Coturnix japonica: one gene and its partner. The main gene of each other region encodes a partner of the protein of the gene in region 2 in a complex. Links are inferred from orthologs where the notes say so. Each region holds a gene or a part of one and is shown on either strand. Other genes may lie near its edges.

Region 1 (5,171 bases), on a different chromosome or scaffold from region 2:
TGTTCCTTGGCTTTTAAAGGCAGAGGTGTTTTACCTCGCTGTGATACACCTGTCACAATGCAGTGTAAGGCTAATGAGGAGTAAAGAAACCTGATCTGAGCATTGCTTTTCAAATCTATGGAGTCCGAATGGGGGTTCCAGAGCTGGGTAGTTTAGTGGGGTGGGTTTTTCTTTGGTGCCAGAAAGATAATTCTGATGGAATGTAACATCCTCCATTGAGAGGGTAAAGCGCTGCCTGGAGCTCAGCTTTATAATAGAATGGACCCTCAGCTCCACTCTAATTTCCCTGCTTCTTCTTTTAATCTTACAGCAAAACTGCATGTGTTCTGCGGTGATGAGAAGGGAAGTGTGTGGATTTACCACCTCTCCGACTACACCACAGCATGGAGCTCTGCCAAGGGAAAACACTCAGACAAGAGAATCCCGCCCACACAGGTAGGTCTCATTTACCCTCTGTGTCAGAGCTGTGCTTCCCTTCCTCCCCAGGGCAGCTCTCTTGAGTTTCACACCAGAACATGCCTCGTATCTTCTCTACCTAACATTCACAGCCAATTAAAACCAATCTCCAGAGTGTGACCAAGGTCACTTCCAATCACACACACAATTATGACAGGGATTATGAGCTGCAAAGCAAATTTGTTCACTCCTGTGTGCTGCAGCTTGTCAACTTTTCCTTGGGTAAAGGCCTCTCTGTAAAAAATATGATTGTTTGACTATATATGGCCTGGCAACACAAGCTGTTCCTGCGCTGCTGTCTGGTGTGCAGCCACTGTTTCCCTGTCTGGATGAGTGGAGGTAACAGCAGCAGCTGCTCCTTGGTAGAACTGCATGTGGGGAAGGGGAAGCTTCTGGCCTGTGTTCCTGCTTCTCTTTTGCTCATTCTTTTCCTGAGCACACTCCTGCTGTGGGTCAGTAGTGTGCCCTAACAACTACACATTCACAAAGGCTGTGAGGCACGTGTGGTCTTAGCTCTAACTGTATCTGGTAGGGATGTGACCTCTTTGGACCCCACCCAGCTCCAGTTGTCAAACCAGGCTTTGCAATAATTGATATTGCCCAAGTTTCATGGACAATGATACCATTCCTTTCCTACACAAACTCTGTTCTCCCTGTAGATTCTCAAATGGCCGGAGCTTCAAGCAAATGGGGAACACCTGAGCGAAGTCTACATAAACAACGTGATAACAGACCCTACTTTCACTTACCTTGTTGCTCTCACTAGTGTGAACATTACAGCCATTTGGAAGAAGTCATAGTTCCTTGTTATAGAAGTTCATTCCCCGTGTTTTGAAATAGTGCAGTATTAGTGACTGTTACCCATATAACCATAAAGTTTTCTAGACCAGCTGTTACGTGCAAAAGGTAAAAGAGTTCGTTAAGCACATCCAGTCATCCAGGCTTTTTTCCTGTAAGTTTACACAATTTGTGCATTTGTTTTATAGAAATGACACTTAATAAAACAAAACAACAACTCTGCTGGCAGAATCTGAACTTCTTGGAATGGGAAACCAGGGCTGTGACCCGTTATTGCCACTCAGCATCTCCTCATTGCCATAAGGGCAGTGAGACTGAGCTACAGCATAGTGCACATAGTGACAGTGAGGCTCCAGTTAGAAAAGTGAAAACCATTTTAGTGAATTAAGCCATGAAATCAAACAAGACATGTCAGATACAAACATCCCCTCCCAATACTGCTGCCAAAGTCAGTAGGACTGGAAGGAAAGTAATTGGCATTGAATGAAGGTTTAAATAAAGCATTTCACTCAGACACATCGTTCTTCATCAGCAGTGTATCACACTAAGAGCAGGCTGATTTCACTCGATTCCTTCTTGTTTGTCTTTAATGGCAACCTGTAAAGAACAGAAACAGAACCGTCAGTGGATGGTTTAAACACTGATTTCATCAATTTCACATCAAACAACAACTGCATGAGTTCAGGGGAGACCTTATTGCTCTATAACTTCCTGAAGGGAGGTTGTAGTGAGCTGGGGGTTGGCCTCTTCTCTTGTGTTATCAGTGATAGAACTAGAGGGAATGGTTTTAAGCTGCGCCAGGGGAGATTCAGGCTGAACATTAGGAAGTTTTACTTTGCGGAAAGGGTAGTCAGGCATTGGAATGCACTGCCCAGAGAGGTGGTGGAGTCACCGACCATGGGAGTGTTCAAGAAAACGTCTGGATGTTGTGTTGTTGAGTATGATCTAGCCGGGAAGTATTGGGAATGGTTGGACTAGATGATCACAGAATGACCCGGGTTGGAAGGAACCTCAAGGATCATGTAGTTTCAACCCCCCTGCCTGGCAGGGCCACCAAACATACACATTTACTAGATCAGGTTGCCCAGGAGACCCCATAGATTCCCCATAGAGACCCCATAGATCAGGTTGCCCACGGCCCCGTCCAACCTGGCCTTGAACACCTCCAAGGACGGGGCATCCACAACCTCCCTGGGCAGCCTGTTCCAGGGCCTGACCACTCTCCTAGTGAAGAACTTCCCCCTGACATCCAACCTAAATCTTCCCTCTTTTAACTTCAAACCATTTCCCCGTGTCCTGCTATTGTCAGCCCTTTCCAAGAGTTTACTCCCCTCCTGGTTATAGGTTCCCTTCAGGTTCTGAAAGGCTGCAATGAGGTCACCCCGCAACCTTCTCTTCTCCAGGCTGCACAAACCCAACTCCCTCAGCCTGTCCTCATAGGGGAGGTGCTCCAGCCCCCTGATCATCTTCGAGATGGCAGCAGCTCTGGGCTGAGCCCTTCCCTTAGGTTCAAAGGATGGGCTTCTCGCAGTGCTCAGAACTGAGCTCACCCTGAATCTCTCCTCCAGCAGGGACAGCTCGCTGATCAGGTCGGTGATGGCGTTGGTGAAGGCCTCCTGGGGGCTGTAATCCGGGGTCGTTTGGACGCGGATGATGATTTTATGTTCCAGGGGGTGCGGGACCTTGTAACCTGCAAACAGCACCTGGGGGTCCTTCAGCAGCTGCCTGGGGGAGGAGGCAAAGCAGCAGCAAACAAACATACATTAATAGATGTAAGAGCTTTATAAGAGCCCCAGCACTTGTAAGCAGCGCCCAGCTCCCTCAGCTCACGACTTGATGATGTTTCCCAGCGTGTGATCCTCCTTGTTGATGGTGAACAAACAGGCGTTGGGCACCTTGGTGTCCTTGTTGATGGTGATCCTACACAGCACAGGGGGCGGCGATTCACTGCCACAGCCCGGGCGGACATGGGGGGAACCGGGGGGGCACGGGACGGTCCGGGCAGCCCCCAACCCCCCACCGGACCCCCCCCATCCTCCATCCCGCCCCCTACTCACTTTTTCTCCCCTTCGAACAGCAGGAACGACTCAAATGCTGGCGGCGCGTTCATCCCGCCGGCTCCGCACCGCTCCCCGCAGCGCACACAGCGTCACTTCCGCCCACAGCGCCCCCTGCCGTGCGGGCGGACCGTGCGCAGTGCGCTATAAAGGCACGGACACGGAGCGGGTGGAGCTGCGCATTTATTGCCACGCTGCGACCCCCCCCCCCCCCCCCCCCCCAGCCCCATCCCGGCACATCCCGGTCCGTCCGTCACGTCTGCGGCTCCGGCAGCTCCTGCAGGGGGGGCTGGGCCGGGGGCAGCCGGCGGTGACAGCGCTCCAGGTCCTGCAGCGCATCCAGGAGCCGGCGGAGCGCGGGGGTCAGCGGTGGGGCTGGGGGGGGGGGAGAGCGGGGCGGTGAGACCCCCCGGGAATGGGAGCAGCCCCAGAGCACAGCGCCTATGGGGGGGATGGGGAGCTGGGGGTCCTTTCTCTACCTTCTCCGTTCTGAGGGTCCCCCGGCTCCATGAGCTGCCGGCACTTCTCCCTGCGGATAAAGGGGCTGTTGGCCGCGGGGCAGGGGGCGCTTTGGGGGCTGCCCCCGGTTGTGGGTCCCACCTGAGGGGCTGCTGCAGCCCGTGCAGGTGCTGGAAGAGCCGCTGCGCCTCCACGTCGGGCTGCAGCGGGTCGGTCCAGTCCTGCAGGGTGATGCTGTGCCGGGTCCGGCCGCAGCCCGGTCCTATGGGACAGAACAGGGGCTGAAAATAGCGGGGACATCACCACCCCCACCCCCCACCCAGCAGCCCGTACCCGTCCTGTCCTTCTGGTGGCAGCAGCTCCATTTATCCCCCCTGAAGACCCCGGGGTGGTAGGAGCGCAGCAGCTGCGGGTTGTTGCCGCACACCTTCCTCAGCGCAGACAGCCACTGGTTCAGCTCATTGACACACTGCGGGTTAAACAGCGAGGTCACACAGTACCCCAATGGGAAACAGCCCCGTCCCCATCCCAGCCCACCTTGCACTGCAGATACGCCGTCTCCTGCTGCCCGGCCTCATCCACATAGACCACCTGCATGACGTGGCAGCTCCCAAAGCTTTTCTCCTCCACCTTCTCGGCCGCTCGGATGTTGGCCAAAGCGATGGAGCCGCATCTCTGCCATTGGGGACACAGCGCTCGGTGCCCTCCGTGCCACCATGGGATCCCACCACCCCACGTCCCCCTACCTCTGCCCCGGGGCTCTTGCTGAAGCTGAGTGCCTCGCTGGTGAGGCAGAAGTGCAGCTTCTTGGATGCAGAAGCAAGCAGCGGCCCTTTGCCCCGTGTCTTATGGACAAACAGCAGCCCCTCCTTCACCACGTTGCTGCGGGGGGCACAGGGCTGCTCCTCTCCACCCTCCTCCTCCTCCGTGCCCACCAGGCGGGTGATGAAGGCCCTCATCTGGGAGGCTCCGTGCTGCAGGGCGGGCTGCAGCGGGGCCAGCCATTCCTCCTTGGCTCTCCCTGCCGCTGGCTCCATGTTGCCCACCATCTGCACGGCCTGCAGACCACGGCATGGTGGAGTCGTTGCCCCCAGTGCCACCCCGCTGTGCCCATGTCCCAGCTCACCTTGGCCAGCAGCAGCAGCGTGCGGCTGGTACGTGCATCAGCGTGTGTCTCCCTCAGGTGGAAGAGTTTGGGGGTCATGATGGCGGGGGAGAAGAAGCGCAGGCACAAGAAGCTGGTGACAGCCACGAACTGAGTGTGCTGCAGCCACCGGGGGCAAGAGATGTGTGAGGGTCCATCCCCATGGCACCATCCCTCATGATGCTTCAGGGTTGGATGATCCTCACAGCCCACAGAATCACAGAATGACCCAGGTTGGAAGGGACCTCAAGGATCAT
Region 2 (5,423 bases):
TGAAATCTCATATGTCCCCCTCCAGGAACATACGGAAATCATTATATTTCACTTTCTCTGTATATCTTGTAAAGAAAAGAAAACTCTGAGCATGGTGAGACCACTACACACACATGCACTCCAAATCAGAAGAGCATGCAGGGAGCTATTTTAAGCAATGCCACATGCCTTTGGGGGCTGCATTTCCTACATTCCATCAGTTCCAAGGGTACAAAACCCGCACCTCTTTCTAATTATTGTTACAACTGTCAGGATTTGGGCAGTTTGGGTTTCCAATAACCAACACATTACAAAGGAATACACACTGCACGCCTTGTGCATCTGACAGCAGTTTTCTCCTAGTTACTTCTGCAGTTATCCCTGAAATGTTCCCCATCTGTTTCTCCTGTCTGTGGGAATACAGCTATGGGAGCTGTGTGACATGAGAATGCCACGCTGCAGAGGTAACTACTTTTAGTCACAATTACACCAAAGAAGAGTGAAAAAGAAGTAGCACATACAGGCTACACTGTAAGCAATTAAATGTGACACCTGTCACACCTTTACAAGGTAATTACCTTTGTCACCTACAAAACCTTATACCACATAAGGTATGTGCATCCCTTCCTGGGAAGGACAGATTTGATTAGATGCTGATGTCTTACTATGACACACCAGGTCCAAAATCTGCCCTGCTGAAGTTACCAGCTGGCTGCAGTACTTCCACACATTCTTGCTCATCTTCTGCAACTCTGAGGTACATATGGTTATCACTACTACAGAATAGAGCTGATTTTCAGAGTGCTGCAAAATTGTACCGTTTCCTTGGGATTCAACCTAAAATGGGAGTCAGGGTCATTTTAAGTTCCTATTATTCTTAACACTGTGATCAAACACAAGCACTTTTCAGCAGAAGTTGTGCTGTGCTAGGACAGAGATGCAGCACTGATAAGCCTCAGCAAGTTGTTATAACAAAGATATTTGTAAGTGCTAAGATGATTATTCAATAAAAAGATGTATTTACCTATTAGGTAATAACTTGGTAGAAAAAGAGACGTGAAACATCTAACTTACTGTAGAGACAAAGAACCCTTCCTGTCAGTTAAAGAAAGCCAGCAGGTCATGGGCAGAACAGCTAGCAGATTTGGATCACACACATTAAGTATCCTACCAGCAGCTGACCTGCATGCAATGGCACACTGCTGTCCCACATTTTGTTTCAGAACAGCTGATAAAATAGCAAAGCCATGCTACTTCCTTGCTTCTCATGTCTCCAGGTTACAGGTAAGATTTTGGATTTAGAAAGGAAACTCTGTATCATTTCCTTCTGTAAACTTCTCTGTAATACTCAGAACATTCTAATTAATTCAAATAATAGCAGAAATTCCAAAATCTTCCAAAATATCAGTGTGCCGCATCACCTTCAGTTACCAGAAGCACACAACAATCGTTCACACAATCTGTGCCCAGGACCAATAAACAGAACTTCAATATTAATGCTGCTTTCAGTATAAGATCTGTACCAGACACTGGCCAACTGCCATGAAACAAATCCTGCATCTCTCCTTGCCATGCTGGATAAGAACATCTAAATCCTCCTTTCCCCATCCAGCAGCAAAACAGCAAAACTCCATGGAAGACCATAAGGGTACAGAGAGCTGCATGCTGTGGACAAAAAAATACACACGCTAATAAATAAAAAAAGAAATGAAAAAAAAAAATTAAATTAAAAAAAAAAAAAGGGGGGGGGGGGTTGGGATGGGGGGGGAAGGTAAGCGTTTTCAGAAGGCTGGGAGGATGGCGGTGCCCTCTTCGTGCAAGGCACAGCCACCCAGCACCGAGAGCCGTGGGCAGTGCCGCTGCTCCCCGAGTGCGGAGCGAGGCAGGAGCACAAACCCGGCTCCGAGCGACAAAAAGCACGGCCGGCAGCCTCCGCCGCGATGCACGCACCTCCCAGCCCGCTCTCGGCGGCTCTCTCCCTATTTAAAGGCTGATGTGGTGTTTAAATGGAGAGGCGGTGACGTGGGGCTGGAAAGCACCTTCCCATCCTAGCAGAGTCTATATTAGAGAGCGGCAATGGCTCTATATAAACAGGGCGGCCGCAGGGAGGAGGAACACAAGGAGCGGGCAGGCAGAAAGGCAGGGGAAGCCATGATGGATCCGAGCGCCACAAGCAGGGCCGCGCCTGCCGCCGGACGCCGGGTTTGTGCCGCCGGCGCTCGGGGCGGGGGTCGGGGCCGGGGTTGCGCCGGGGACGGAGCGGAGACCGAGGGGCGATCGGATCGGCCGTGCGTGTGACTGCTTATTGCGAACCGGAGCGAGCCGTCCCGCAGCGAGCCGCCCGCCAAGGTGCAGAAAGCACGAGAAGGGACACAGGGGGGCGAGAGTTTTCTTTGTAAAATAAATACTGCCTCGCTCGCTGCAGAAAAGTTCCGGGCCGGGCCTGGCGGACCGCTGCCGCGGGGCTGGGACAAGTGCTTTTCAACCATCGTCTCTTTCCGATCGAGCAACATAAAATGGCTCCAGCGGAGCCCGGGCTGCCGCCGCCACCGCGGCCACCGCCACCCCGACACCCGGCTCGCTCCCGGTCGGGCGCGGGGCCGGCGGCGCTCGCTCCTTCCCGGGGCGGCTCCCCCCCCCCCCTCCCGACCCGCCCGCCCGCCCCTTCCCGCCGGACCCCGGCCCGCGGCGGGCGGCCCCGGCCTTTTCCCCGCGGGGCTCCGTCCGCCGCCCGCCCCCGGGCCGCCGCCCCGCGCCCCCCGTTCCGCTCCCGCCGCCCCACTCCCGCCGCCCCCGGCTGCGCTCTCCCCGCCCCGGCGTCGGGCGCCACAAGTTGTCTGCTGCTGCCGCCGCCGCGCGGGGAGCGGCCCGGACCCCGCCGCCCCTTCCCGCCGCGGGCCGGGGGGGAGGGGGCCGGGGCGGCCCGAGGGACGGGGGTGCGGGGGAGGGGGCGGCGAGCCCCGCCGGCCCCCTCCGCCCGCGCCGCCCGCGGGGTCCCCCTCGCCCCCCGGCCCGGTCCTTACCACGGGGTTTGTGTTAGTCGAGCTCGCCATGTCCCGAGCCCCCCGGGACGCCCCCAACCGCGGGGGGGGGAGTCGCCCCTAAAACAATAAACCTGCCCGGCTGCGTCCCCCCTAAGCCCGCACGTCCCGCCCGGGCTCACGGGCAGCCCCGCGGCCTGGCCCGGCCTCGTTCGCCGGCCCTGGGGCTGCAGCCGCCGCCGCCAGCCGCCCGCTCTGCCCGCTTCGCCCCTTTATATAGCGAGAGCCGAGCAGCTGCGCGAGCGGCCAGACCGAGCGGGGGACGCGCGCGGGGGGGCGGCCAGATACCGCGAGAGCAGCGAACGAGAGCGCGCCGCGCGGGGCGCCGTCACGTGAAGAGCCCGCCCCGCCGCCATGACACTTAGTGAGGCGGAAGTACACAGGGAGGTCGCTCTCCCGCTTGCCGCTCCGCCCGGCGTACCGAGGCGGAAGTCTTCGCGCTGTCCCGCCGGGCGCTGCGCCTCAGTCCGTCCCATCGTGCGACGCCCGCAATCACGGCGCTGCTGGGGGCGGCCCGCCTCTGCTCTGCGGCCCGGCCGGCTGCGATGAGCCCAGCGGGATGCTGCACACCGCGAGGCGGCAGCTCATAACGGCCCGGAGCGAGCCGGAGGCCAGCGAGGGACATGGGAACGCACATCGCGTCCGCTCGGTCTATAGGAGCGGTTTGCTCCTCGGTGTCAGCCCCTCACTGTGCAGTTCCAGGTACGCAAGAGCCCTGCCTGGCCCAGCAGGCGCTGGTACCTCTGGTCACAGGCCTTGAGCTGGCCCTGCTACAAGAGCCAGGTCCCGGAGTGTTCAAGCTCTTGTTACCTGGTCTGGTGACAGGAATCGTGGGCCCTCACTCTCAGAATTGCCTCTTCAGCAGTTCCTCACAAAATCTGTGGCACTGAGAATTCCTGGCTGTACCGTTTGGCTTGGCTTCCATTTTTGCCCTTTTAATTGCCTTTTCGTCCTTTTCCATTCCCTTTGCTTATCCCCTTTCTCCATGGCAATCTGCAAGATGCATGTAATACAGGAAAGCATTCTCAACTACGAGGATCCTTCCATCAGTTAACTTCCCTGCTGCCACCTTCACCAAGCCCTTAGGATAACTTCTGAATACAGCTTAGAGCTCCAGCAGTAACCCACCTGTATAAGACCTGCTCGAACATAAATTAAAAGCAACACTGAATTCCAGCTCTATGCTCAAGGTATTATGTTACATCAATCTCCACAGAAAACAAAAACAAACAACAATAAAAAACCCAACATGCCCTACAGACCATATTTGACACGTTACCTTCATTCAGAAGTCCCACCTACTAGCTAGACCAAGCAACATGTTTACAAACTCCTGTCTGGTAGCCTAAGACCAGAATTAATTTGTTAGTGGATACAGGAGACCTTCACATTCCATACTTCTAAATGCTTTAGTTCTGTGGTAGCGAGCACCTCCTTTCCCTTCTGACAGGCAGAGCTTTTATAGGCACGTGATTGATTTACAGTGGACCAGCTGATGAACCAGCTCCACTGTTCATGGCACATACTGCTGGAGCTCCAACAAAAATTACATGGGACAGAGTTTTACCATCCTCTGCTGTTAATTATACATTTCCTTCTTGGAATTTTCCACTGCCACAGCACAACCAACAGGAGTGATGAGAGTTGGTATCCGTAGCTCGTGAGCTAACCTTAGGTGTATTGAATGAGCAGCAGGAATTGAGGTGCTAGTGTTACTTCACCCTGACATCTCCAATAAAAAGGCAGTAATCTCTTGCAGAGAGTTTGTGAAGTGAATCTGTAAACTGTCCAACACTCCTGGCTGGCCTTCCATTTTCTACACTTTAAATAATTGCAAAAATGATCATGTAAAACTTAAATATATGTATATACTCACACACACATATATATATACACATCAGTGAGGGCATTCACAGTCAGAGTTCACAGATAGTTTTAGCCACTGAAGTGACTGCCACTCCACCATAGATTAATCAGATTGCAGTTGATACCCTTCCTCTTTTCAACATGAAACACTGGGTAGTTACAATTGCTTTCCCCAGATAGACCAGAAATCCCACTGTTTTCCAGAGTGACTCACTGTAATTCAGAAACCAACATGGACACTATAGCAGTAATAACTCAGTGGGGTATCACATTCCTTTCTGTTCCCCCCGAAGGTCAGAATGGTGGGCAGAGCCTGTCACTGTTTCAGCAGATACCAGAATCAAGTTACTATGTGGCACTGTAACCCCCAAGTTCCTTTAACAAGCATTGCAGTGAATCAAATAAAGTCCCTCGTGAGAAATTCCCCCTGTTGAGTCAAACCAATGGTCCACCTAATTCAACAGCAATTCAGCTGAGGGAAAACAAGTGAATTAGGCAGTTTCTGAAATCTGTTCACTCCATGCTACTCCAGCACCT

What was found. The genes of interacting proteins can lie anywhere in the genome.
Region 1: GTF2A1 (region 2) and DNA-directed RNA polymerase II subunit RPB11-a share a complex: the UniProt entries of both Homo sapiens proteins name them as parts of the TBP-based Pol II pre-initiation complex. The link is inferred for Coturnix japonica from reciprocal best matches to the Homo sapiens genes GTF2A1 and POLR2J.

Annotation. Positions count from the first base shown.
Region 1 is NC_029534.1:3,078,870-3,084,040, forward strand, and holds DNA-directed RNA polymerase II subunit RPB11-a, read right to left. Parts: upstream 3,444-5,171; 5' UTR 3,365-3,443; coding exon 3,312-3,364; intron 3,175-3,311; coding exon 3,085-3,174; intron 2,980-3,084; coding exon 2,805-2,979; intron 1,852-2,804; coding exon 1,816-1,851; 3' UTR 1,473-1,815; downstream 1-1,472. Other genes in the region: LRWD1 (leucine-rich repeat and WD repeat-containing protein 1), read left to right, coding at 311-435, 1,116-1,256; ras GTPase-activating protein 4-like, read right to left, coding at 3,565-3,686, 3,791-3,840, 3,912-4,032, 4,104-4,239, 4,308-4,445, 4,517-4,828, 4,897-5,034. UniProt on the Homo sapiens protein: Core component of RNA polymerase II (Pol II), a DNA-dependent RNA polymerase which synthesizes mRNA precursors and many functional non-coding RNAs using the four ribonucleoside triphosphates as substrates.
Region 2 is NC_029520.1:37,077,397-37,082,819, forward strand, and holds the start of GTF2A1 (transcription initiation factor IIA subunit 1), read right to left. Parts: upstream 3,286-5,423; 5' UTR 3,033-3,285; coding exon 3,003-3,032; intron 1-3,002. UniProt on the Homo sapiens protein: TFIIA is a component of the transcription machinery of RNA polymerase II and plays an important role in transcriptional activation. TFIIA in a complex with TBP mediates transcriptional activity.